Sus scrofa: one gene and its partners. The main gene of each other region encodes a partner of the protein of the gene in region 2 in a complex. Links are inferred from orthologs where the notes say so. Each region holds a gene or a part of one and is shown on either strand. Other genes may lie near its edges. The genes, in order: SNW1, SNRPF, SNRPD2, LSM3, CRNKL1, PRPF31 and SRRM1.

Evidence for each region.
Region 1: SNRPF (region 2) and SNW1 share a complex: the UniProt entries of both Homo sapiens proteins name them as parts of the minor spliceosome. The link is inferred for Sus scrofa from reciprocal best matches to the Homo sapiens genes SNRPF and SNW1.
Region 3: SNRPF (region 2) and SNRPD2 share a complex: the UniProt entries of both Homo sapiens proteins name them as parts of the SMN-Sm complex. The link is inferred for Sus scrofa from reciprocal best matches to the Homo sapiens genes SNRPF and SNRPD2.
Region 4: SNRPF (region 2) and LSM3 share a complex: the UniProt entries of both Homo sapiens proteins name them as parts of the U4/U6-U5 tri-snRNP complex. The link is inferred for Sus scrofa from reciprocal best matches to the Homo sapiens genes SNRPF and LSM3.
Region 5: SNRPF (region 2) and CRNKL1 share a complex: the UniProt entries of both Homo sapiens proteins name them as parts of the minor spliceosome. The link is inferred for Sus scrofa from reciprocal best matches to the Homo sapiens genes SNRPF and CRNKL1.
Region 6: SNRPF (region 2) and PRPF31 share a complex: the UniProt entries of both Homo sapiens proteins name them as parts of the U4/U6-U5 tri-snRNP complex. The link is inferred for Sus scrofa from reciprocal best matches to the Homo sapiens genes SNRPF and PRPF31.
Region 7: SNRPF (region 2) and SRRM1 share a complex: the UniProt entries of both Homo sapiens proteins name them as parts of the minor spliceosome. The link is inferred for Sus scrofa from reciprocal best matches to the Homo sapiens genes SNRPF and SRRM1.

The regions. Positions count from the first base shown.
Region 1 is NC_010449.5:100,718,415-100,721,914, forward strand, and holds part of SNW1 (SNW domain-containing protein 1), read right to left. Parts: intron 2,252-3,500; coding exon 2,134-2,251; intron 806-2,133; coding exon 642-805; intron 557-641; coding exon 358-556; 3' UTR 1-357. UniProt on the Homo sapiens protein: Involved in pre-mRNA splicing as component of the spliceosome. As a component of the minor spliceosome, involved in the splicing of U12-type introns in pre-mRNAs.
Region 2 is NC_010447.5:87,620,064-87,624,312, forward strand, and holds the start of SNRPF (small nuclear ribonucleoprotein F), read right to left. Parts: upstream 2,801-4,249; 5' UTR 2,677-2,800; coding exon 2,674-2,676; intron 824-2,673; coding exon 698-823; intron 1-697. UniProt on the Homo sapiens protein: Plays a role in pre-mRNA splicing as a core component of the spliceosomal U1, U2, U4 and U5 small nuclear ribonucleoproteins (snRNPs), the building blocks of the spliceosome.
Region 3 is NC_010448.4:52,039,675-52,043,640, forward strand, and holds the start of SNRPD2 (small nuclear ribonucleoprotein Sm D2), read right to left. Parts: upstream 2,801-3,966; 5' UTR 2,727-2,800; coding exon 2,725-2,726; exon of another isoform or gene 1,826-2,724; coding exon of another isoform or gene 1,758-1,825; intron 1,329-1,757; coding exon 1,149-1,328; intron 1-1,148. Other genes in the region: QPCTL (glutaminyl-peptide cyclotransferase-like protein), read left to right, coding at 3,558-3,767. UniProt on the Homo sapiens protein: Plays a role in pre-mRNA splicing as a core component of the spliceosomal U1, U2, U4 and U5 small nuclear ribonucleoproteins (snRNPs), the building blocks of the spliceosome.
Region 4 is NC_010455.5:70,345,881-70,350,044, forward strand, and holds the start of LSM3 (U6 snRNA-associated Sm-like protein LSm3), read right to left. Parts: upstream 2,801-4,164; 5' UTR 2,744-2,800; coding exon 2,723-2,743; intron 663-2,722; coding exon 552-662; intron 1-551. Other genes in the region: XPC (DNA repair protein complementing XP-C cells), read left to right, coding at 3,056-3,158, 3,452-3,595. UniProt on the Homo sapiens protein: Plays a role in pre-mRNA splicing as component of the U4/U6-U5 tri-snRNP complex that is involved in spliceosome assembly, and as component of the precatalytic spliceosome (spliceosome B complex).
Region 5 is NC_010459.5:28,109,072-28,113,171, forward strand, and holds the start of CRNKL1 (crooked neck-like protein 1), read right to left. Parts: upstream 2,801-4,100; 5' UTR 2,386-2,800; coding exon 2,335-2,385; intron 712-2,334; coding exon 559-711; intron 1-558. UniProt on the Homo sapiens protein: Involved in pre-mRNA splicing process. As a component of the minor spliceosome, involved in the splicing of U12-type introns in pre-mRNAs.
Region 6 is NC_010448.4:56,001,508-56,005,007, forward strand, and holds part of PRPF31 (U4/U6 small nuclear ribonucleoprotein Prp31), read right to left. Parts: intron 3,264-3,500; coding exon 3,166-3,263; intron 2,589-3,165; coding exon 2,482-2,588; intron 1,158-2,481; coding exon 988-1,157; intron 1-987. UniProt on the Homo sapiens protein: Involved in pre-mRNA splicing as component of the spliceosome. Required for the assembly of the U4/U5/U6 tri-snRNP complex, one of the building blocks of the spliceosome.
Region 7 is NC_010448.4:82,336,692-82,340,191, reverse strand, and holds part of SRRM1 (serine/arginine repetitive matrix protein 1), read right to left. Parts: intron 2,356-3,500; coding exon 2,245-2,355; intron 1,492-2,244; coding exon 1,027-1,491; intron 337-1,026; coding exon 141-336; intron 1-140. UniProt on the Homo sapiens protein: Part of pre- and post-splicing multiprotein mRNP complexes. As a component of the minor spliceosome, involved in the splicing of U12-type introns in pre-mRNAs. Involved in numerous pre-mRNA processing events.

The DNA of each region.
Region 1 (3,500 bases), on a different chromosome or scaffold from region 2:
ACAGGTGAACATCCTCTTTCTACTCACTGGGGTTGGGGTAACTATTCGTAAGCAGTTATTCTTAGACAAAATATTAACCCCGAAGTACTAATGTCACTCAGAAGGAAGTGGCCTTAATTTCATGTGTGGGGCAGTATAAATGCCAAAAGGTGGGAGAAGCACAAACACAACCCACTCTTTTAAAAAAACTAAATAATTCAAAGTAGAATTTTTCCATCCCCCCCTTCTGTAATAAAAAGTATTGCTGGGCTCTGACACCCAGATTTGGTTTTCATTCTGGCCATTTTACAAAGTATTCGCCCGTATGACTTGCATCATTAGGGTTATGAATAACAGTTCATACACTGAAGACAGTATCTACTCCTTCCTCCTCTTCTTGCCTTCATGCTCATGTTCCTTGGGGCGACTGCTATCTGAGGGTCTTTTAGAGCCACCGTGCTGTTTGGCTTCTTCCAAAAATTTGTCCAAACCAAAAGGATCTTCCTCAAACTGAACTGGTCCTTCTCGGCCTCTTTGTCTACGGTCTGACCCAGAAAACTCCTTGTCGGGAACGAATCTAGAGAAAAAAGAGAAAGACTATGAACTACTTTACTTTGTTTCCAGTGGCGTGGACACTGAAACTAAGCTGTTTGCCTTGGTACCTGTTAGTCTTTATTCTGGCTTCTAGGTCATCACCATACATGTCCTTGTCCAGATTTTTACTGGGCCTGTAGATATTCTGGGCCATATCTTTACCACCTCTCCAGGCTTGGTCATAAACATTGTAAATTTCATCTTCTCCACCTGCAAAACCACTGTCCATACCCTGTGGAAAATAGACAACATTAAAAATGTACATGTTATTTATTAATAAAATTTGTCAGATTTGTTTCCACTGCATTACGATGGGAACTCCTCATATGGTTTTTATAAGAATTAAGTGAAATAATAAATGAAAGTCTTAGAACAATGCCAGGAACATAAAAAGGACCCAATAACTTATTAAATAGAAGAGCTTACTCAAAATGCTACCTTCACATCTTAAAATCTCCAAGTCATAATTAACTTCCCCTCTATACACCATGAGAATCGTATACTTCTTTATTATTACAGTCTGCTTTGTCTTTATTTACGTACATATATCTTACAGTAGACTTGATGGTTCCTTGAGGGCAAGAACACATCTACCTGGAGTTCCCGTTGTGGTGCAGCAGAAACGAATCCGACTAGAAACCATGAGATTGAGGGTTCGATCTTTGGTCTCACTCAGTGGGTTAAGGATCCGGCATTGCTGTGGCTGTGGTGTAGACCGGCAGCAATAGCTCTGATTAGACCCCTAGCCTGGGAACCTCCATATGCCTCGGCTGCAGCCCTAAAAGGACAGAAGAAGAAAACAAACAAAAACACATCTGCCTTTGCTCTCATTGACTATACAGTAAATAATCAATATTGGGTGAAGTAAAACCCAAAGATACTTCAGGCCTAATGTGTCCTAGCTAGTTAATGACAACTGGGACCAGAAATTAGACTTCCTCACTAGTACTTTAGTTTTATGGCTTCACTTTTTAAAAATCCAAAGTTCATGTTTTTATAGCATTAAGACATTTTTTTTTTTTTCAAAGATCAACAACAACAAAAATAACCTGAGACTTTTGTAGGACACTGGCTCTATTTTAGAAATAAAAGAATCAACCCTTTTGTTTGTTTTCTGTTTTTTTCTTTTTTGGCCACACCTGTGCCACATGGAAGTTCCTGGCCCAAGGACTGCTTCTGAGCCACATCTGTGACATACCACAGCTGCAGCAACACCGGATCCTCAACCCACTGTGCCAGGCCAGGGATAGAACTAGCAATGCTAGAGATGAGCTGGATCATTAACAACCTGTGCCACAGTGGGAACTCCCAGAAGAAAAGTTTTAATCACCTAATTTCTTTCACTTTCTAATAGTGCCTCAAATCTTGGCTAATTCTAAGAGGTCAAATCAGAACTATTTCTACTGTCTCAAGTTACAACATGCAACTTCAAATTTTTTCCTGTCACTATGCCAGCATACTTTAGGCTGATCCAAGCCAATGATACGTTAATTTTCTTTTCCCTGAGGACTGGTATTCACATCAACACTTAAGACATGCATTTTCCTAGACGCTTAGTACCTTGGACTGGTTGAAGAGCCTTTGGTCGTACTGAACTTCATTGGAAGTCCGAGGATTGGGCACACCAAGAGCAATGACTTCACTGATATCTCGGTTTTCATTTCTCTGCAGTTTCGACCTGTTATGAAATACCACGTCACAGAGTGAAAACTCTTCACAGAACAAGCTGAATTTCAAGTTAAATACAACCAATCTCAGAAGCAGAGAAAATGAGTATATCCTGTTCACATCTTGTGAACATATATTCCTTGATAATGCATAATTGGGATGGCAGCTCTTACAGCATTTCAGATACATGATGATTAGATGAGACAGGGTTTTACAATCAGGCTTCCTGATAGTGGAAAAGAACTGCCAAGAGACTGCATTTGCTAAGACCAGTGGCAAAGAGCTTGCTGCTTATGTTTTCTTCTAGGAATTTTATGGTTTAAGGTCTTATATTCAAATTCTTAATCCATTTTGAATTAACTTTTCTTTTTATCTTTTGTCTTTTTAGGGCCGCACCCACGGCATATGGAGGTTCCCAAGCTAGGGGTCGAATTGGAGCTACAGCTGCCAGCCTATGCCACAGCCACAGCAACACCAGATCCGAGCTGCATCTGTGTCGTACACCACAGCATGCCAGATCCTTAACCCACTGAGTGAAGCCAGTGATCGAACCCAAAACCTCATGGCTCCTAGTTGGATTCGCTTCTGCAGCGCCATGATGGGAACTCCTGTTTTGAGTTAATTTTTGTGCATGGTGTAAGATAGTGGTTTGGTTTCACTCTTTTGCATGTAGCTGTCCAGTTTTTCCAACACCATCTACTGAAGAGACTATCCTTTCTCAAGAGAATCATTCTTCATATGGAAGTCTTTAACTTGAGCAATCCCCTTATAATGCATGCTGAGATATAAAACCACTATGGTCTATATCTGCTATTACTATAAAGGGTTAGGGGGTCTGGATACAAATTAGAAACATTTTCAATAAGCTAGAATCAGTTCTTTGCCTAACCACATTTAGTAATTTTATCCTATTAGAATTCTGAGGAAAAAGATGTCAATGACTGGATTACTTGGTATGATTTTTGACATTCAGGTTAACTTAATTCCTCTCCTGTTTCAGTTATATATGCAATCCACATTGCAATGATACCATGGTAACTGTCATAATTTATTTTACTTGAGGCTCAGGTCTTAAAATGATTTCTATAGACAATCTAATTTTCATCCAATCACAAGTTTACACATTTTCTATGTTATCAATTCTCACAGTCACTGTACTAGTTTTAAGGGCTCAATTTATCTACAGAGCCATTTTGATTTTTATAGCTTAGGAATTTCAGACTTAGAGTGTCATTAACTGTGTACTTTCACACTTCACT
Region 2 (4,249 bases):
CTTCTCTCTTAAGAACTGCTTCTATCAAATTACTTAGATTTGTACATTTAGCATTTATCAAAAGACACGAATTTCACTGGAAAAGGTTCTCTCGGACCAAGTGCTGGGATGTTTTGCTTTCCCCACAAATCAGTATATTTTTCTTATGACATTGTGAATCAAACGCCTGAGCTCTTCTTACTTTTAACCACCTGGGAATCAAATCTGTGGCTGAATTTTTTTTTTTTTTTTGTCTTTTGTCTTTTTGTTGTTGTTGTTGTTGTTGCTATTTCTTGGGCCGCTCCCGCGGCATATGGAGGTTCCCAGGCTAGGGGTTGAATCGGAGCCACAGCCACCGGCCTACGCCAGAGCCACAGCAACGCGGGATCTGAGCCGCGTCTGCAACCTACACCACAGCTCACGGCAACGCCCGATCCTTAACCCACTGAGCAAGGGCAGGGACCGAACCCGCAACCTCATGGTTTCTAGTCGGGCCCGTTAACCACTGCGCCACGACGGGGAACTCCTGTGGCTGAATTTTTAATATGTCTCATACAAAGTTCATCAAATTATAACATCCTCCTTAGCCTTGATTTGACCCCTTAATTTTGCTTTGTTTGTCAATTAATTATATCCCTGTAAGTCACACCAAACCTTTGAGAAGTCACATGAAGAAAAATAAATACAATCTAATGATCTTCATAACTCTTCCACTTACCTGCATATTCATATAGCCATCTACAGACACCAGGTAGCCTTTGTACTCCATTCCCCACTTAAGTTTCACCATCACTGGCTTCCCTGTTAACCCATTGAGGAAAGGTTTGGGATTGAGAGGCAAACTCTGCAAAACAAAAACAAAAAAAGAACCCAACTGAATAAGTTTCTTTAGCTTGGTTTCTATTACCTACTCTTTTCTGCCAAATTACCAATATGCTGTGGTATCCAAATGAAGCAAACTCTTGACTCCATCTCACGTTATTACATAATTTTCACTTTTATTTGTGGAAGAACTTCAAAGAAATATCCAGCCAGTCAATTTCATCAACCCCATCAAGACTTATTCAATGTTCACTTAAGAAACATTCACTCACTGTTCCAAAAATATAATGAAACCAAGGAAAAGGCAATAGAAAAAAAAGAAAAAAAAAAAAAAAGGCAGATGACAGTCCCTGTCCTTAAGAGACCTACAGTGGGAGGGAAGGGTCAAAACATACACGAGTGGGCAATTACTTTGTAATGTAGTAAGAGGAGAATGCTATTACATGATACCAAACAATCCAGTGTTAAGAGAAATGGAAGAGTTGCCTGAAGTAAGTAAATGCCTGTTTTAAAGGATGACAGATATTTCCAGAGGGAAAGAGGCTATTCTAGGCAGAGGAGGCTACCTATGCAAAAGGAGGGAAGAATGACTCGGCAAGGTGATCTCAGGGACATAAAAGTTAGTTTTGTATGAAGTTACTGAAGAGGCAGGGGCAGATCATAATTGAGTCTCTCACTATGAAAAGGTAGGCCTGGATCTTATTTGACTTAGCAGTGACTCCTACATATAGGCAATCAATCACTTAATGTTTGTTTATTCAGCAAATGCAACAGTATCTCCAACGAATTCAGACTTTTCCCCCTTCCTTCATCTGTTGGCCCATCCACCCAAAGAGAGAAAAGAACCAAGAAACTTGGCTACTAAACCCCTCTAGGATAAGCATACTCAGAGTGATCTCAAATAGTTCTATGGTCTTCACTCTTTTCTTTCTCCAATTTATTAGCCACACGGCAAGTATTTTTTATCACATCATATCTCTACCTAAAATGTTTTGATGGCTTTCCAAAGTAGACCCGGGAGTAGAACTCAGACCTCCTAAAACTGCCTAATACTTGCCCAACACTCCATCCTAGCAAGCAGCTGTGGCTTTCTCTCAATTCCTCCAACTGGTCAGGCTTTCTTTCGAGGCTCAGAGTCTATGCTCATGTTTCCTGAGCTTGGTGTATACACTCTTCCGCCTCTTTAAGGGTGTGTATTTCATATCGTTTAAGTTTCAGGTTAAATCCCTTCTCCCAAAGATGCCATCCTTAAACACTTCTAACGTAGCATGGTACCCCCTCATAGCATCCTGTGTGCTTCCTCCTTAGCACTAACTTTATTTGAAATTATGTATTTGTCGTTATTTGATCAATGTCTCTCTCTCTCTCACACCGACTTAAACTGGAGCAGGGGCCACACCAGTACTTCTCGCCCTATAGTCCTAGTTCCTAGAACACACCTGACAGGTAGCAGGAGCTCAGTAAAAATTTGCTAAGAGAACAAATGAATGCTCAAAGCTCGGGCTCAGTATTCCAAAGGGCTGCAGGGCTTCCCAGCATCACCAGACAAAAGCGGATTTTGGAGTGCTGTAAGCTGTACGTGAAAAACCGCTTCATCTTTACTCCAACTCTGTGGTCCCAGGCAGCAAGAGCAGCTCAGGCTCAGATTCAAACGAAGAAGAGGGGGAAGGGGACATTCCTAGGGAGGGGAAGGAGGGCGTGCGTCAGACACCCAGAACTGGCAGAAAGGGGCTGGCCACAGGCTGCGCGGGGCCTCACGCGGATGAATGGGAAACGCGCGAAGGCCCGGCGAAGCTGGTCACCCGCCCTCCCGCCCTCTCTCTCTCTCTCTCTCCCCCACACGGGCGACTCTGACCTTCTCTTTCTCCTTACCATCGCGACTACTGCTGCTGTAGTGGGCAGATGCTGCAGACTACCCGCCGCCGACTCAGCGCCGTCCGGCCCTCGTGGACTGGAGTTGGCTACAGCAACTTCCCAGCCACCAAGCTTCCAGAGAAATGGCCGCCAAATAGCAGCGTGACCTTTCCCCTCCGACTACGGCTCTTCCGGCTTCTGTGATTGGATGCAAAAAGATGCGTGCTGATTGGCGGAAGTGACTGGGGCCTGTCTCCTGGCAACCAGCAGGCTCGAGTTTCCGAGCGCCTTCCCGGCGGGGGCAGGAAATAGGAAACCTTCAGCAGCATGGGTCTGATACCTGCGGCACTGCAAAGGCAGAGAGGTGGCTCGAGTTGCCTGTTTGCTCGCCTGCCTCGAGGGTTTGCTGTCTGTCCTGCAGAATGGACGTGATTTCTCGCCAACTTGGCTGGTGGAGTTTCCTTTGGCTTTGCACACCTGGGAAAACGAGCTCGGGGCTCTCAAGTTTCTTCTTCATTTTCCCACAGATCCTGAGCCATGGGGACTCCTCTGCCACAGTCCCGTTCTACCTGATGGCTCTCTATTCTGTAGTGCTCATTTCACCCCATCTCAGAGGAAGTGGAAGAAGCAAGACTAGATAGACTTAAGGAGGTGAAACGCACCGGAAGAAAGTCAACTGCAGAATATTTTTCAGATGAGGTCAGACAGAGACTAAAATACGGTGTGGTGGCCTCCCGGTCCACCTGTTTCTTGTGCTTTGCGAGCAGAGGCCCACTACAGTCCTCATACTGGATTTATTTTTTTCAAATATATATATATCTAAAACATTTTGGATATAAATTTATATACATGTAATATATATTATAAATAAATTGCATATAAATTCAGTATAGCTGAATTACAACATTGTGCCAGTTTCTGTTGTACAGCAAAATGACACAATCATACACATATATACATTCTTTTAAAAAAATTTTTTTTTCTTTTTTGTTTTTTGTTTTTGCAGCCCTAAGGAGTTGAATTTGAAATTGAAATTTATGGAGTTCCCGTCGTGGCTCAGTGGTTAACAAATCCGACTAGGAACCATGAGGTTGCGGGTTCTATCCCTGGCCTTGCTCAGCGGGTTAAGGAGGTTAAGGGTCCGGCGTTGCCGTGAGCTGTGGTGTAGGTCACAATCCGGCTGCGATCCTACATTGCTGTGGCTGTGGTGTAGGCCGGTAGCAATAGCTCGGATTAGACCCCTAGCCTGGGAACCTCCATATGCTACGGCAGCGGCCCTTGAAAAGACAAAAAGACAAATAAGAAGAAAGAAGAAAAAATTGAGATTTAAATGTTGCGGTATTGTGGAGTAGTGGCTAAGACTTTAGAGGCAGTCTGAGTTTAGAACGTCTATCACGTGGGAATGGTATTGGGCAGTTTCTTAACTCCCGAAGGCGTTTGCTTCCTCAGTTTCATGTGGCTTTAAAAACAGTTCTATCTGCAAGGCTGTGAGATAGTAATTAATGTGAAAGAGGCTGGAACTATCCTTGGCTATGTAAGGGTTTGGTAGATCTTAATTTTACTTTAATGGTGTCCATCTAAATGATAAAGAACA
Region 3 (3,966 bases), on a different chromosome or scaffold from region 2:
AAGGCCAGGGATCGAACCTGCGCCCTCATGAATGCTAGTAGGGATCATTTACCGCTGAGCCACAAAGGGAACTCCTGCCGATCATATGTTTACTGAGCCTTTGCCACATGTTAGGTACTGAGTTAAGTGCTCTTCCTACAGAAAATCATTTGACCCTTACGACTGTTCTGAGGGGTATTATTCTATGCATAGTATTTTGCAGATAAGGAAACTGAGGCCCAGAGAGGAAAAATCACTTGCTGCTCCCCATGGCTGAAACATGCAGACCCTAGGTTGCACCTTCGTTTTATCCCCATCTGTCCACCTAGAAGGCCTCCTGCATGACCCACCGAGGACAGCAGCACTCCCTCTCCACACTCCAAACTCTCAGCTGGCTCTACTCTTCTGCACAGACTTTGCCATCACTTGTCTTCCTGACACATTATGTGTTTGCTGTAGACTCCCCTGAGTACAGGAGGCATGTATGATTCAGTCACCATGGCATCTCTGGAGCCTAAGACAGTACCCCACAAGGGCAGAGGCCACTGTGCACGAACTGAGAAAACTGATGAGGAAGACCGTGTGCCGGGGGCGCTACTCCTAAGGACTGACTGTGCTTCACATATATTAAGTGACTGAATCTTTGCAACCATCAAGATTACGGCCATTGTAGGGAAGAGATATATGGTCCCTTGCTGAATGTCACACGGCTGCTAAGAGGCAGAGCCAGGACATCATTCCAGGACTGGCCCCCAAGTCCATGGCTGAACTTTACAGCTGGAGGAACAACAGAGACCGTCACAACAGGCACTCTTTTTTTTAAGCCCACACCGGAAGCATATGGAGGTTCCCAGGCTAGGGTTCAAATCGGAGCTACCGCTGCCGGCCTACACCACAACCACAGACATGGGATCTGAGCCACACCTGCGACCTACACCACAGCTCACTGCAATGCCGGATCCTTAACCCACTGAGGAAGGCCAAGGATCGAACCTGTGTCCTCATGGATACTGGTTGGGTTCGTTAACCACTGAGACATGACAGGAACCCCACCTTCAGACGCTTATGCCCCAGGCTTCTAAGAAACCTAGAATCCAGGCTCCTCAGACTAGAGCTGGGACTGCTTCTCCAGGCCAGGACAGACCACCTCCCCAGACCCAGGTGCTCACCTGTCAAAGGCCTTCACGCGGCCCAGGAGCTTCTTGTTGTTGCGGCAGTTGATGAGCACTTGGGTGTTGTTCTTGACCGACTGTGTGAGCACGGACAGCGGCCCCGTGTTAAACTCCTCCTCCTCCCGCTTCTGCAGCTCCTCTGGCGTCATCTCACTCTTGGGCTTGTTGAGGAGGCTCCTGAGTGGGCAAGTATGGAACTCATAGGTGACAGGGCCTGGAGCCAGAGCCTGGGTGGTCATGCCCTCTCGCTCACTGTCTCCCCAACACACCCACCCTCCGGCTCAGTCCTCTCTCTTAGCATCACCACACAGCTGCCTAATAGACAGTTCCAAGCTTGCACGTCCTAGGCTGAACACCAGGCCCCGCGGTACCCCCAAACTTAATCTACCTACAGCTGCCTTCGTCTCCATCCATGGCAACTCCATCTTGCTATGTCTTTGAGCAAAACCTCTAACGTCAACTTGACTCTTCTTACTCTCACATCCTACATTCAATCTGCTGGCAAATCCCATCATCCCTGCCTCTCAAATATATCGGAATCTGACCACTTCTCACCATGGCTTAACCTCCATCGACTCTCTCCTAGAGCCGTAATGGTCTCCCTACCTCCACCCATGCTCTCCAAGTTTGCTCTTCACAGAGCAGTCTCTGGTTGGTGCCAAGGTCCAAGTCATATCATCTCACTCTGCGAAACTCTCTTGAGGCTCCTATCTCAATGTAGAAAGTAAAAACCCTTTATCCGCTGCCTTCTCTCACTCCGTTCCATCCAGAGGGGTGTCTTGGAAGATTTTCAGCAACTTTCTTCTTAGGCTTCTGCATTTGCTTTTCCCCCTTTACCTGGATACGTCCCTAAATATCTTTGTGCGCTCACTTTCTCCAGCTTTCTGCTCCAGTTGCTCCCTTCTTCATGTGTCCTGTCTCTCAAAACTGGCATTCCACATTGTTTTACCCTGCTCTACTGTTTCTTCATTCATAGCCCCGGTCACCTAACACACCATATATTTTACCTTTACATTTATTGCCTGGCTCAACCCAACCCATAAAATGCAAAATGGAATTTTTTCCCTTGGGGGAGTGGGGTAATTCACTAACATATTCTGTGTCTAAAGAAGCCTGACATATGAACACTCAATAAATAATTGTTGCATGAATACGTAAGTAAAATCCTTCCGATAACTCGAGACCCATGATAACGACGAATAAGGTCAAAAGGCTAACCGTCTCCAGCTCAAATTACCCTGATAAGATCCTCACTTCAAATCGTTCTTCCCCACATGTCCGTACTCCCCTCTCCCAGGTTCCATTTTCGTACATCGCTTCCCCTTAACATTCGCTTCAGTAAGACTAATTATTTGGGAAAGCCCAGCCCGTTATCTGATAAAGCTGCTCCTGCTCCTAAAGTCAGGATCCGAAAAAGGCCCCACATCTGTTCTCAAACTCATCGGTAACGTACGCCACTTTACCCCGAAAATGTTTGCTTCCGCCCCAGGCTCTGCCCACCCCCTTCCACCGGCAAGTGGCCAGATTTACACCCTCAACCCACTCCTGCCACCTAAGCCTAGCCCGGCCTCACATGGCGGTGGCAGTAGTTGTCGCGACCGCGCACTCCAGTCACCACCGTCTCCGCGTTGCTTCTTCGCCCTCTGAAAGGAGCGAGAAGGGCGGGACTTCCGCTTCCTGAGGCCCACTTCCGTGGGCGCTTGCGCAAACACAGCTAGTGGGTGGGGCGTGGCCTGTTGCCATAGCGATCTCTGCTCGCCACAGGCGGCTGTAGGGTAAAACTCTTACGTACTACTTTGAGGCCATTCAGGACTGTACCGGGCAGATATTGACGATGGAGAGGAAGAGAAAGCAGGACTTATTCAAACCATTTCGTTGTAGAACCGCACAGGTTGAAGGAGGGAAAGGACAAGCCATTTCCAAATGCCCGCCGGCCCTGCCTTCGGGGGCGCGGCATCCACGAAGCCAATCGGCTCCTCGCTTCAGGGATGGATACCTCCTCTTCTACTTAGGGGACCGTCCGTTTATGTGTTTGTTAATCCTTTGGACTTGGAATAACCAATCCTTTGCTTACATCCGGGAGGGGCGTGGACCCGCGCCCAGGAGGTCGGCTGTTTTCTAGGATCAAATGCTTCTCATTGGCTTCCCCTCTTCCGCTGAGGCGGTGCCTACCTCTTTCGCGCTCCCTTTTGGGTTGTGCAACCCTCAGGGGAACCAACCCTTAAGCTTCAGGGAGACAGGGAGGCGTGTCCTCAGTACGAAAGTCCCCATTGGCTTTACTGCTTGCTGAAGGGTGGGTTGGTGCAGCCGCTCTTGTTGCTTATTGGTCCGGTGATTCCATGGGGTGGGACTTGGCTGGCCTAAACTCCATCCGCAGTCCCCGACCGGTTTCAGGGCGAAGCTGCCATGCGTTCAGGGGGCCGCGGGCGGCCCCGGCTACGGCTTGGGGAACGCGGCCTTTTGGAGCCACCCTCACCGCCCAAGCGCCGCCTGCTACCGCGGGCGCAGCTGTTGCCCCTGCTGTTGCTGGCGCTGGCGGTGGCCTCGGTGTTCTATACCATTTGGAGCGGCTGGCACCGCCAGACTGAGGAGCTGCCTCTGGGCCGGGAGATGCGGGTGAGGCCGGACGGGGACAGGGGAGCCCTTATTCCCCGCCTCCCCCTCCTCAAAGTCTCAGGTTGACGTGGCTTTATCGTTATCGTGGGGCCCTAGCCGCAGGTGCCGCGATCTTCGTCGTTAGAGCGCATGCCCCTTTCCAATGCAATGAGGCTTCGGGCTTTTTCTATAATAGCGGTTGCACCGTAAGAGGAAGGGT
Region 4 (4,164 bases), on a different chromosome or scaffold from region 2:
GTACTGCAACTCAGACATTCAGAACTCAAAAGTATAGCATGATCCCATTCATTTTTTAGAGAGGGTGTATACAGTGTAAATATATACATATAGACACATATTCATGTATATCTGTTCTGTGTAAATATACAGAAAAGATCTGAAAGACTATAGACCCAATAGAAGAAATAGGATTTCACCTTTTACTCTACGTATTCCTGTGTAAAATTTTTCACAAGAAAACGCAAATTTATATGCATGTCAGTAATTTAAAGAACATTTAAATAAGAATGGAGGACAAATAAATCTTATTTACAAATAAACAGAAAGGAAAAAATGAAAGAAATGAAAATGTTCTCTAGTAGACATATTTCCATTAAGAGAAAAATGTGTTAAACATATGAATAAAGTACAGTTCATTTGGTGTTTAGAAATACAGGTGACTTTCCACCTCCTCATCTATTCAAAACACTCTTTCACAGTGGACAGTTTTTACATTTCCAAGGGGTGGGGTTAGGGAGCAACATTGAGGAAATAATCTAATTTCAAGGTGATTTAATAAATTTACTCACATGTAACCTGCCTCGAAGCTCTCTGTCATTTCTCATTTTCACATAGATTCGCTCATCCAGGCTGAGTCTGATGAGATCCAGGGGCTCTTCTACAGTGTTGGTAGTTTGTTGCTGATAAAAGAAACAGGCTTAGTAATACAGTTCTAGAGAGTGAAGTTTCTGAACCAGCAGTGCCCTGTGTGACTGTGAGCAAGTTAGTTAACCCCTCTATGCCTCAGTCTACTAATTTTTAAAATGTGTGTAACAGGAATGCCTACCTAATACTACTGTTGTGAGGCTTAAAATACATATATGAAGGCTTAGAACAGTGCCTAGCGTATATTAAGTGCTGGATAAATGAGGGCTGAAACATACCTACACAGAAAGGAGCTGTACAACAAAATAATCATGACTGCACTCTCTTCTCTCAAAATCCAAACTGTCTGACCCCATTTCAGGGTATAGGGAGTTACTGTCTCAGGGTCTTCATCTTTCTTTCATGTTATCATTTAGCAATTGGAAGAACATACACAATGACTACCACATACTAAGTGGAGATGAATGTTTGAGGAAAGATTATGAGTGCAGTGCAGGAGAGGCTGAGTTTAGGGTGCCATCTGGCCAGTAAGATGATTATATTTAGCAGGCAGTATAGAAAAATACTGGTTGAAAGCACTGGCTTTGGAGTCAGGCAGTGTGGGTTCAACCCCTGACTTTGACATTCATGAACTGGGTTTAAAAACCATCTCTAATTCTGTTTCCTTGTTTACAAAATGAGGAAGCCACAATCTTCCCTTCATGAAGATGGCTAGGATGACTGGGGTCCATGTGGAAGGGATGGTTGAAGGGAAGGGTGAGTTGATAAGATTATTTAAGGAGAGCTGCTTCGGGGATTACATAGGGTCATTGGAGGAAGGTGACTGAATGTTACAGTCTCTATAGCCTTAAAGGGCTAGATGCAAAAAAGAGAAAGGAAATCCTGACCTCAACTGCTTCCATCTCCAGATCAACAGATGTTTGTTAAAGACCAGCTAGCCAGTTACTAGATCAGTGATACAGGAGTCAGTCCCTACCCTCAAGGAGTTCATTCTAGTGGAGAAAGGCATATAAGTAAGTAATCATAATACTGTAAGAATATATACATGACAGAGACCTACCTCCCACTGTCCATCCTTTTTATCCTGTAGCTTTAAGTACTGCCTTTTCAAAAGGCCTCCCAGACCATCCAATTAATTCACTCAATGAATATTTGTTGAGTGTTTCCAGCACTGTTCTAAACCCAGAATAGTGAACAAAACAAGACTCTTGCTCTCAAGGGACTCACATTCTAGCTGGGGGAGACAGACATTAAACAAGGAACCATATACTCAATATGAACAAAGAACATGCTATGAGGAAAAATAAGGCAGACTGGGAGAGTGCATTTTATGCAGGTGGCCAGAGACCTATTCTTTGATATGAGGTGAGATTTCAGTAAACAGCTGAAGCTGCGGCCTAATCCACAAAAACATCTGAAGAAGAGCATTTGGAGAAGACGGGACAGCAGGTGAGAAAGCCTGAAGGACCATCAGTTATTCTAAATACCAGCTCCCTGTCTCCTGCCTACCACATCACAGTTTCCATATGTTTCGCATATTTATGTTTACTTGTTATCTGTGCTCCCTCGAATATAAGCCCCAAGTTGGGCAGGTATCTCCCAAGTCAATGCCGATGTCCCTGGTATTTAGAAAGGTTTCTAACTATACAAAGGTGATACTCACTAGTGTTTGTAGACCCTGTAATCATTGTTGCGCTCAGTAATGACAATAACCCACTAAATGTTTTATTAGCCTTTCTATCAGAATCCCGAGAGCTCCGTGAGGCAGGCAAGGATAATGGTTCTCATTCTACAAATCAACGTGAGACTCAAGAGAAAGGAAGTGAGAAGAGTGAGGAATAACTAATTTTCAGGAGGGTTTTGAACAACAAAGGTCTCAGGGCCTGAGGCAAAATTCGGAGGGGGCGCGGTTAACCAAGAGGCAGGTTAAGGCCGTGATGACCCAGAAAGAGGCGGCGTGACAGGCCACTTTCTCGTGAGTTTGGGAAAAGCAACCCTGAGCTTGGGGAAAACAACCCTGGTAAACAAAGCTGGGCACACCCTGGCCTGGACAGGGAGAAGCCGCCCCAGAGCGAACTCTTCAGAAGATACTCACCTGGTCCACGTCGTCCGCCATGTTTCAAACCCTGCGCCCTTTCCGTCCTCTCGCGAGGGCACGAGAGCTGCTCCCTATGCCCACCCCAGTCTCCGGAAACGTGAGGACTCTATGCACTGGAAGTAGAAAGAGGTTGGTTTTACAGCTTCTTGCTTCCTGCAGCTTGCATTGGTCCCTTTGAGGCTGGGGCGGAGCTTCAGCCTGGGCGCAGGCGGGAATCTACCGGAGGGGGCGTGACCAGGCCCTGCACCGCCTGGGGGCGGGGCCGCGCGCGAGCTGCGTCCCGCGGAGACGCGGTGCGTCACGCTCTAGGCGAGTCTTGCCCGGGCAGAGATGGCTCCAAAGCGCTCGGCGGGCAGGGCGCCGCGGGGGCGCAAACTGCGCGGCCAGAAGGCCAAGGGCGAGGGCAAAGCCCGGCGCGAGGAGAAGGAGGCGGGTATGAGCCAGGCTGAGTTGGGGTTGGTAGGGAGGGTGGAAGAGGTTTGGGTGGGGGTAGCAGGAGGCCGGCTTCCTGGAGGTGTGAGCGAGGCATCCTCCCTCCCACCTGCGCTGGGGGCGGTGTTCCGGAGGCCTAGGGAGGCTGGGGGTGTGCACGTGCCCAGGTGCTCCCCGGCGGCCCTGCGCCTTTGCTCTCCTGGCCAGAGGTGATGCGCCCTGAGACGTTCCGCTAGAGCCCAGCCGACCGCGAGTTCCTCTGCGTAGCCTCTTTCTGCTCCTTTTCGCCCCCAGGATGCAGGCGGAAGCAGGGGGCTGAATATGTGAAAGGTACTGCTATTATGTTGTGTCGCCACGAGACGAAGGGACCAAGACTTAGAGTGCTGTGGTGTGTGGAGAGTCCCAGATTTGGATCCCACCTGACAACGTGCATATCGAGTAGGCTGCTTATATTTGTCATGCGCAAAGCAAAACACTTGATTTCCCCTTTAAACCTATCCCTTTCTTACTTTTACCCCATATCAGTCTTTGACCCCTTCATCACTTGTTAAAACAAACTCCTTTTCCCTCCAACACACATCCAGTCCTTCAGAAAGCAAATCCTATCAGTTTAACCTCAAAACCATATCTCAAATCTCTCCACTTCTCTGTTTCCATGGCCACATACCCTGTCGAAACCACCATCACTTTTCAGTTGAACGACTGCAGTTGCCTCTCTACGGGTCTCCCTACTTCTTTTCATCCCCCTGGAGGAGTTTTCTGTGCTGCAGCGCAAAGTACCTTAAAAAAAAAAAATCTGATTTTGCCATGCTCCCACTTCAGACTCTCTGTGTCTTCCCATTGGCATAACAGCCTCCAGATTCCTCACCTTGGCCTACAAGACCCTGTATGATCTGGCTGCTGCTGCCTCTCCTGTTGTCTCTTCCTAGTCTTCTTTGCCAGGTACCTTCCTTCTTGGCCTCCTCACACACACCATGTGATTCCTCACCTGAGCCTCTGCCTAGAAT
Region 5 (4,100 bases), on a different chromosome or scaffold from region 2:
CCATGAACTGTGGTATAGGTCGCAAATGCGGCTTGGATCTGGTGTTGCTGTGGCTGTGGAGTAGGCCGGCGGCTTCAGCTGCGGTTACACACCTAGCCTGGGAACCTCCATATACTGCAGGTGCAGCCCTAAAAAAAGCAAAAAGACCAAAAAAAAACCAAACCACATTCTAGGGTGAAGAGGTCAATTCAGATCCTCATGTCTTCCTAGGGCTTTTTCCTAGGTTTCACTTCTTAACACAGAAGGCAGTACAGACAGAAGAAGAGAACAGAATCTCCCTAGGCTCACCCCTCCTCCAGCTGTCAGTTGTTGTGCCTGTTAAACTTCCACCCATCTTTGATCTACTAAAAAAAATCTGTCTCTGGTGGATCTAATTTCTTTACACTTAACACGCACAACGAGGCAAAATGCAATCACCTGGTAACCAGAAGTCATGCTATTCATGTGGCTACAAACACTAACCTTATCTTATAGTCTCTCTTAACCAGTGAGGAACTTTTCCACTTCTGACCTGTTCTTAACAATATCAACAGACTGAAAGACATCACATTGACTCACCTTCCTCTTCCTTAGTTTGTAATCATTTAACTCCTCTTCATCTGTGATCTTCTGTTGAGGGGGAGGTGGAAGAAGCTCAAGTTCTCTTTCCTTAGCTTCTCTTAGCAGTTGTTCTGCAGTTATCTGTACCTCAGCTGGGGCTTTGTTTTTCACCTTTAAGACGAGACATTTCTATTTTTAGTAGACCTCTTCACACAAGGTTTAAGAAACAAATACACATTTCTTAGGATGTGAACTTTATAAACATTATTACAAGATGCCCTCCTTTGCATGACATGCTCCCATTTCTCCATAAAATTAAGTTAAAAAATACTGTTTTCTATCTTATGCATAGTATCTATCACAAAACCACAGATAAAGCTCTCAAGATATAAGGTAGCAAAAAAAAAAAAAGCACCAAGTTTTCCCTTTCAGATTAATATAATAGTAAACTCTGAGGCTGCCTAGATAAAATTCTCACCAAAGGTTTTATCAAGATGTGTGCTATATTTAGCATTTCAACCTCTATTTACAGAATTCTTCAACTTAAGCCCCAGGTAGAGGATAATGTCCCAGGTGGATAATTACAACTGATTTTTCATGGCACTTCAAGCCAAAGACTTACTCAGTAAGTTCTCATTATTAGGCTATAAGAGTCCTAGATCCAACACAGTAGCCATAATCACATTTGTTGAGTTCAAAATGGGATGGCTTCTAGTGGTAAAATATAATGGGATTTCGAAGATTTAGTATGAAAAAAAGGATAAACTACCTAATTAAATTTTTTATATTCATTACATGTTGGAATGACAATATCTTGGATTGGTTAAATAAAATATATAATTAAAATTAATGTCACCTGCAACTAGTTAAATTTAAAAAATTTAGTGGGGGGAATGAATGTCACCTGTTTTCACTTTTTAATGTAGCTATGAGAAAACTTAAAAATTACCTATGGGGCTCACATTATATTGAACTCAGGGAGCCCAATAAAAGTTTGTGGAATTGAATTGATAATTGTTCAGTGTCATGCGAAGAGTGATGATTATAATAAAATGATAGCTCATACCTAATGAACATTAAGTGCCAGATGCTGTGCTATGCACTTTATATGCGGTATCTCAAAGAATCATCATCTAAGTGGATAAAGGCTCAAGAAAGACACCTGGGCTGGAGAAACAGACTGGAGGGAGAGTATCTGTAAAGGCTTAGGACAAAGCCTCTTACATATTAAGCACTCACTAAGTATTAGCCACCGAAGGAAAAATCAGATTTCTTCTTAAATTATGCTAACTCGCAGGTCTTGTCATCTACTCTCATTCCATCCACTCTCAGCTGGCCAACTTCTACTCCGCCTCAAGGGTCGGTTTAGGTATCACTTCTCAGCAGTCTACTCTGAGACCCCTCACACAAGCCCAGTTTGCCACGGCATGTTCCACGTGGCCTGAGCAGCATTCAAGGTTGTATACTTGTAAAGATACTTTACACTTGTATCTTATTTGAAAGCTGCTCCTTGCTCGCCCTCGTTGGAGCTCCCCAGCGCCTAGCGCGCTACCTGGCTCAGCTGGTCTGTGTGGAACGACCCCAGTCCTCCCACCGCAAAAATGCCTTCCGAGACGATGGCCACGCAAACGCGGGTGCGCCCCCCATCCGCTGACCCTTCCCCTCCAGCTCTCCCGCGGCCCCACATGGGGCTGGCCGGCTCCCTGGACCACACGCCTCCCGCCCCGGGAACCGCGGAGGCCAGGCCAACCCCCTTCCCGGGCCTCCTCCCTCAAGGCTCGCGCCGCCGCCTACCTTGGCCACTTTCGGGATCCTCTGCTTCCCGGCCGCGGTGGAGGCCGCCATGGCTGCAGCGTCAGACCTCGGGCAAGCCCGGGACCCCACAAACCAACCGGGAACGCTCGCCTACACTTCAGGGATTTCCGAAAACAATCGGGATCCCGGAACCGGAAGCGGAAGTGGCTGGGGGACGTTTGACCTCCCGACGGCGCCGTGACGGAGGCAACGTCGTTTCTGTGGTAACGGTCTGCGCGTCCTCCTAGGAGCCGTGGGCGGAGCACGGCGGCTGGAGTTGCAGGTGAGTTGGATAGTGCTGGCTCCCGGTAGGGACGTGGGGAAAGTGCAGGGCGCCGGTCGCTCATCCACAGGTCGTCTCCGGGACTGGGATGCCCGTCCGAGGATGGGTGGATCTATGGAGCCCTGTTGCCAGGCAAGGGGATAGGAACCCGGCTCCGGTCAATACGCTCGAGGGCGTGGAAAAAGAGGCTGGCCAGAAAAACTGCTATTCCCGGCATGCCGAGCGGCGAGCTGCTAGGCTCCTAGGCGGCCCGACGCCGCTGTGCATTTTAGGCTTTGTAGTCTTTGAGATTTACTCTCTCTTGGTTTCTGGCTAGTTGTGACTAAATACTTAACTTTAAGGCTTGTAATTTAAAGTAACTGAAGGTTTTTAAAAGCCAGATAATAGAAATAGAGTGAAAATAAATCGTCAGAGTAATAGCAAATATGCCAATCTTGTGGTCAGATAAACATATTTAAATTTTCTTTGTGCCTTAATTTCATCAATTCTCTTAGCCCCGATGTCCCTAACTATAAGACGCAGATAATATCTATTTCACCAGGATTAAAAAGAAAAATATAAGTAATGTGCTCAGTAAATTTTAGTCGGAATATTTCTTGAACTGCTTTCAGAAACAAAAATTAATATGTGTGTGCCAATGATTAAGAGAATTTTTAAAAATAGAATTTATTTTTTAAGAGCAGGCTTAGTTTCACAGGAACATTGAATGCAAAGTACAGAAAATTCCTATTTCTCCTGCCCTGGACTCCAGCCACTGCACTATCAATATCCACCACCAGCGTAGGGAACCTATGTTGACATATCTTCATCAACCAACCTTCATAGTTTACATAGGGTTTACTCGTCATGTTGTGCATTCTGTGGGATTTGACAAATAATACAGTGCCATCTGTCCACCATTATGGAATGGTAAAGAACATTTTCACTGCCCTAAAAATCTTCCGTGCTCCGCCTATGCATCCCTCCTTCCCATTTTGTTTCCTGTAACCACTAATTTTTTTTCAATGGCAGTCTTTTGTAGACTGTCATATCATTAGAATTATATAGTGTGTAGTCTTTTCAGGTTGGTTTCTTTCACTTGGTAATATTCATTTTAGATTCCTCCCTGTCTTGTCATGGCTTGATAGCTCATTGTTTAAAAGATTGACAGTTGAAAGCCTCTTTTGGTGTTTGGAAAATATATTTATGTATTTATGTATGCAGATCACATCCACCTTTGCAGAAGAAATTTTATGCTGATTTCCCAGACTGAAGTCACCTGTAACCAATATAAAAACGTTTGCCATAGTTTCTGTACATCTTATTATTATTTAAATATTGAACGTTTTCTCACTTTTCAAATTTTAAATAAATTGAGATTTTATATAACTGTGATAGAAGTCACCTAAGGAAAGAAATAGCTATTAAAATAAAAAGATATTTCCCTTGAGTTCTCTTCAGATTGTAACTATACACAATTGATTTGACAAAGTTTAATCATCTA
Region 6 (3,500 bases), on a different chromosome or scaffold from region 2:
TCCAGTCACCACTGGGGACACTGAGGCACGTGACAGCATTTACCCAAAGATTGAGGTCAGTGTGGGGAAGCAGGATCCACACCCGAATTTGTCCTGCCCCGAAATCACTACCTCTTCTTCTTTTTTCGGCTGTGTCCGCAGCATCAGAAACTCCCAGGTCAGGGATGGAACCCGAGCCACAGCAGTGACAAAGCCAGATCCCTAACCCGTGAGGCCACCAGGGAACTCCAACCACTGCTTCTCTCTACGCTGCAATTCTGCATGCATTTGTCCCCCTTGTGTGGGCTGAACCGAGTCCCCTACTGAAGTCCCAACCCTCCCCTCCCCACATCTCAGAACGTGACTATGTTTGGAGAGAGGGCCCTTGAAGAGGATGCAGGGGAAATGATGTCACAGGACGGGCCCTGATCCAATAGGGTTAATGCCCTTACGGGAGGAGACTAGGACAGAGCTGCCCATGGAGGGCAGACCACACGAGGACGCAGCAAGGAGGTGGCATCTGCGGGAGGAGGCAGTGCTGCTGACACCTGAGCTGGCTCCCAGCCCCCAGAAGGTGGGAGCAACCTGGGTACAGGGGCTTGACCCCCTGGCTGCGGGGCCAGGAGCCCGAGCAGGTGCTGAGACTGCGGAGCCCCCAAGGAGAAAGGGAACCCGCTCGTTAGTCCCAATACACTGCGGGGACCAGCGCCACCATCTGCTTCTACACCGAGGCTCAGAGCTGCCTTGACTACTGCTGGCAGCCCCGGGGGTCCAAGGCACAGCTGGGAGCCGCCCGGACGCCCTGGCCTTTCCAGCGGCCGCACTGACTCCCTCCTCAGCAGCCCGTTTGGCCCCAGCTCTGCCGGGCAGTCAGGGGCCACCTGGCTCAGAGCCGCCCTCCTCTCTCTGCGGGGGGGCCCCGGGCCAGAGCCCAGTTTAGAGAAAGGGGCGTGGCTTCCCGCAAGGTCACAAGCCGGGGGACCGCCCCTGCCCAGGGCTGGCTCTCACCCATGATCTTGGCGGCGGTGGAGGCGCCGATGATGATGGAGAGGTTGGGCGCGATGAAGGACATCCGAGACTCCACGTACTCGTAGATGCGGTGCTTGGAGGCGTTGAGCTCCAGCGCCATGTCGCAGGCCTCCTCCAGCCGCTCCAGCTCCTCGTCCGACAGCTGCTGCCTGCAGTGGCGGGATGGGGGTGTGGCTGAGACCCCCACACACACACCTCCTGGGAGGTCCCGTCTGCCTGGTGTGGGAGCCCCAGCCTCCCAGGGGTGTGCAGCTTCTGGACAAGTCCCGCTGGCCCCGAGGGCTGGAGGCAAGGGCTGCCGGGAATCAGTTCTCAGGGGCACCAGCCTCGCGGCCTGGGCGGTGGCCTGGTCCTGCCCATGCGGGTCCACCTGGGGGGGCCCCCTGGCCAAGGCCACGCTAGAGGCAGAGCCTCTGCGGGGCTCCCTCTTCCTGAAACGCCCTCCCCCGAGCTCGCCTCATCCTGCAGGTCTCGGCCTTGCTGACCAGCCAGGCCCACCCTCCCAGGGCCTCCCTCAGAGCACGGCCACCAGCTGCCATCACCCTGCCTGTTCAGGGCCTCTCCATTTCCCGTGGACTTCCTGCGCTAGAGCCGCCCTGGGGGAGGGCCCCGCCCAGCTCTGGTGCTGGGTGAGCAGGGGCGAATGGAAGAGCATCCCTGCCATCTCACAGAGGGGACCCAGGGCCAGAGGGAGAAGGGGACAGGCCCGAGGCCACATGGCCAGTCAGGGAGCCCAGCCCTGGCCCCCCAAAGCCAAGCGGGATCCCTTCCCTCCCTCGGCTGCCCCACCTGTGCTGTGAGGTGCACAGGGCGCGGCTGTAGAGCTCAGGAGGGCTGCCACACTCAAGGTCACCCACTGGAGCGGTCAGCTATGGGCCCACTTGTCCCCTCTCCCCCAGGAGAGCATGGTCCCTGCCTGAGGCCAAGTCCTCCAGGAAGCCACCCCAACCCAGTCGGGGAAGGTGCCCTTCCTCAGCACTCTCTGCACCCCTTCCCCTCCGCGCCCTTTGCCCTTGACCTGTGCACACAGCTGCTTCCTCCCAGACTGGAGCTCTGCTTTGCTAAGTCCTCTGACCCCAGTGCTCAAAACAGTGCCTGGTGATGTGTCAGCATCTGCTCTGCGAACAAGACAACCCGAGGGGTCTCCACCCCATGGGGCTCTGCGCTGAGGCACAGACGCCAGCAGGGTGGGGGAGACCCGGCTTTCGTCCTGCTCAGGGGACGGCAGAGCACAGACGGGCACTTCTACTCTGGGATCTGCCCTCTGCCGCACGGCCCTACGGGCGCGGGGGCAGGCTGGCTTCTCACTGGGACGCCCCAGCCCCAGCCCCAGCCCAGCGCGGGGCCTGGCTCGCAGGAGATGCTCTGTAAACACACGTGGATCTGCAGTGAACGGTCCTCCTGAGATGGACACTGGGGCCACTGGGGCCCCGAGACCATCGCTGCTGCCAGCCGGGCCTGCTGTGTACGCACCCCTGGGTGGTGGAGGCGGTGACGCTGACCACCATGATGGTGGCGTTGGTCAGGATCTGCTGCAGGTTCTCGTTGTTCTTGCACTTGTCCAGGCTGTTGCCCAGCTCCTGGGGGCGAGAGGCAGGAGAGGGGAGGCCCGGGGCTCAGGGAGCTCTGGAACCTCTCAGGCCCCTGCTCTCGCCCGGCCTCTTCCAGGTCTGCATGCGGGGCGCTCCCCCCCGCCTCCCCCCAGCTCCACGGCTTCACTGCCCACAGCTCAGCAGCGTGTGCCCTGGGCTGGCCGACCCGGAAATGGCCCCGCTGCCCGCATCCACTAAGACTGCAGGTCTGACCACGCCACTTCCCGCAGGCAGATCCCTGCCACCGCTCTTCTCCGCTCCCGGACTCGGGGCAGCCTCTGCTGGGGTCCCCGCCTCCACCTGCCTGAGCTTCCCCTGGTGGCTCTCCCTTAAGACCAGGGCCTCAGAGGCCAGAGGGGACCCGACCCCTTCAACCTCACCCCCTCACTCCCACTCGTTCCCCGAACGCTCAGGGGCCACTGGCATCTCGGGGTCTCTGTCCCCCATTCCCATCCTGCCTCCAGCTGAAAGCTGAGCGAGGGGAGCCTTTCCCCTAGACCCGGGGGCCCAAGAGCAGGGTCCTGCCTCCCCTTCACACTGGTGGCTTCAAGCCGCCCCCCCTCACCTTGACGGTGCGGATGTAATCCAGCGCATTGGGGACCAGAGACTCCAGCTCGGGGAATCGCTTTGAGTACTTGTCCCGGATGAACTTATGGATGATGTCTGAGGGGGAGAGGGAGGGGAGGGGCCCGTGAGGGGCGCGCAGGCTCCGCGGGTTCTCCCAGCATCCACCTCTCCTTCCTTCTTCAGTAAAGGACCCCCAGCTGCGGCTGGGCTCAGGGACACCCAGCACACAGGGCCCATTTCCTGCTGTCCCTCCTAATGGATGCAGCCATGGGACTTAGTGCTGGTCCACAAGATGTGAGCTCATGCCACATGTGCAACTTCCAGCCACTCCCG
Region 7 (3,500 bases), on a different chromosome or scaffold from region 2:
GCTGCTGCTATATGGCATGGGTTTCATCCCTGGCCCAGGACTTCCACATGCCGTGGGTGCTCTGAACCATAAAAGACAAATTCTCTCCTTCAAAGTGACCATGTACAATTATAAAGGATGCTCAAACAGGGCAGACATACCCTTGCCGGTGATGGGCTTGGTGTCGGGCTTTTAGCCTTTTTGACTGGTACTGCTGGTGACCAGTTGGTAGAAGGTGACTGAGACTGGACAGGAGATGGAGGTGCTGGGGGTTTTTTAGCTGCTGGCTCAGGAGATCCCGAGACAGATCGAGAAGATGAGACCCTCCTTACTGACTGAGGGCTTGGTGAGGCAACTCTAAAAAAAGGAAAAAAAAAGGAAAAAATAAAAGTTACTGTCCAAAAAGATATCCTTCTTTCTTAAGAGAAAAAGACCAACTACCATTAAAAACCGGATCTAAATTTTAAATATTTTATAGCACTTAGTTTGCTGGTTGTCTATACTAATACCTAACGAATTTGTATCATCTAAGACTGCTGGAGAGTAGCTCAAGTCCCACAATGCCCTATCTATTCTGTTAATGATCCTTCCTGTATGAAATGAGGAATGCCAGCTCCTATTTAAGACTGCTTTCATCGGTCTTACATAGACATGAAAGAAATATGCTACGTATCACTTCAAAGCTAGGTTTGGAAGCACAATCCTCAATAAACTTGCTACCTCTGAGATCCAAGTAAAATTCTATGACATTTAAAACTGAAAAGAAGGTCCAGCACAGGGAAATGTGTGCGACTAGGTTGCTTTGCTGTACAACAAAACTTGACAAAACAGTATAAATCAACTATACTTTAAAAAACTAAGAAAAAAAAAAAAAAAACAGAAAAGAATCTATGAAACAAACAGCAGTACTCAGTGTCTTAAACATTTGTATTCACAGCTATTCTTTTATGTGACTTCCCAGTAAACAGGGGGTGGGAAGCTTCTAAACATGAAGAACTACACAGGTTAAAAGTGTTCCTAACCAAAAAAAGCATAAAATATTTTTACTTTTTTGTCTTTTTGGGTTCCGGAGTCCTGGAGACTCTCCTAATGGGCCTAGAACTTGGAGATGGGGACTGCCTTCTTTGGGGTGATGACGATGCTCCTCTTCGAGCAGGCGGAGGACTTGAGCAAGTCTGCGGAGCTCGAGGCCGTGGTGAGGGCGAATGCCGTTTGTTTGGTTGTGGTGACCGGGCTTCCCGGGTAGACCGGCTTGGGGAAGGCCCTTTCCTATGCTTTGATGACAATGAAGGTGAACGTCTCTTAGTGACTGGGGAGCTTCTTTGTTTGGGAGGTGGCGAATGGGAGACCCGACGCTTTGGTGGCGGAGATGGTGATGCCCTTCGTTTAGGGGGAGGAGGGGGTGACGCTGTTCTTCTCTTTGGAGGTGGAGAAGGAGAGTATCTCCTCTGTATTGGAGGAGAGTATCTTCTTGGGGAAGGTGAGCGTCGACGTGGGGGAGGAGAAGGAGTCCTAGGAAAAAAACAACATTAGGAGTTCCCGTTGTGGCTCAGTGGTTAGTTGAATCTGACTAGCATCCATGAGAACGCAGGTTCAAGCCCTGGCCTCTATCAGTGGGTTAAGGATCGGCTATGGTATAGGTCACAGACTTGGCTCGGATCCCCATTGCTGTGGCTGTGGTATAGGCTGGCAGCTATAGCTGAGATTTGACCCCTAGCCTGGGAACCTCCATATACCCCAAGTGCGGCCCTAAAAGGCAAAAACAAAACGAAATGAAACAAAACCAAAAAACCCCACAAACATTAAGCTGAGAAGTCCAAGAAACTAAAGAAATATAATGCAAAGAAAACTATGCACTCACAGCACTAGACAAACAGAATTCCCAGTGGAAATGCAATACCTTCACTTTCATTTAAGGTTAAAACAAAACAAAACAAAACTCTTAGTAAATTCCTATTTATGCTAGATGACTACAAACAGGGCATTCTGGTTAATTGTGAAATTTTAGTTCAAACTGAATTCAAGTTTGTCGAAAGTCATTCAGCACAGGAGTTCCCGTCTTGCCGCAGTGGAAACAAATCAGACTAGGAACCATGAGGTTGTGGGTTCGATCCCTGGCCTCGCTCACTGGGTTAAGGATCCATTATTCATATAAATGGAACTGTAGAACGATGTACTTTGTAAACAGGTAAGCAATGCAACTCACATAAAATATTTCAATCACAAAGATTAAAAGTTGCCCTACTAGCATTTCCAATAAAGTACCTTCGTCGTGGTGGTGGCGTGGGAGACCTGCGTCGTCGAGGTGGAGGAGCAGGAGAGGGAGAACGTCGCCTTCTGGTGGGTGGTGGGGAAGGACTTCTCCTCCGTCTACCACTAAACCAAAAAAACAGTTGATTCAGAGTCAGCAGCATTTATAATTGAGGGGTCAAGATAATTTAGTTTCAACCACTGTTACCCCAAAGTGCAGCAACTGTCATTCTCTCCCTCAGAGCAGTCTTATACAAACTAGTGTAGTCAAGGCCCTGGGTACGGAACAGAATTTATAAGTAAATAAATAAAGTGATTTACTTGTGTCAAGGGCAATAATTTTTGTCTTGTGAAACTTGTTTCAGTACGTAAATATGCAGTCTGGGTCATGATATAAAACATTCTTAACATGAAAGAAAGTGAAAAAAGTTGAAAATACTGCCTTAGAGCACTGCTTTTCAATTGTAATGTTCAGCAGAAACAGCTGGGGGAGTTCTCTTGGTGGCTCAGCGGAAACAAATCTGACCAGTATCCACAAGGAAGAAGGTTTGCTCCCTGGCCTCGCTCAGTGGGTTAAGGATCTGGCGTGGCTGTGAGCTGTAGTGTAGGTCACAGATGTGACTTGGATCCCATGTTGCTCTGGCTGTGGTACAGGCTGGCAGCTGCAGCTCAGATTTGATCCCTAACCTGGGAACCTCCATAAGCTTTAGGTGTCGCCCTAAAAAGACAAAAGAAAAAGAAAAGCTTCAAAGCTTATTTTAACTTTGTGTTCACTAAGTCTGGGCTATGGTCTAGTGGTACATATTCTTTTTTTTTTTTTTTTTTGGTCTTTTTAGGGCCACATGTGCTGCATATGGAAGTTCCTAGGCTAGGGGTCGAATCAGAGCTGCAGCTCCTGGCATACACCACAGCCACAGCAATGCCAGACCCAGGCTGCATCTACAACCTACACCACTGCTCATAGCAACCCCAGATCTTTAATCAATTGAGTGGGGACAGGGATCAAACCCACACCCTCATGGATACTAGTCAGGTTGTTACCACTGAGCCACAATGTCAACACCAAGCTGATATATGATAAAAGCATTCTCCAGGTGATTGATTCCTTGTTAGGAACAACTGCTTTAAAGCCTAGAAAAATACAATGTTGTAATACAGAAATTTAAAATTTAAAGTCATCAGTGGTTTTAAGGCTCCAAATCTGGGTATTACTGCTACAAATTATTGATTTTTTTTCTTTTTGATATATTCCCACGGGTTGAGTTGCACAG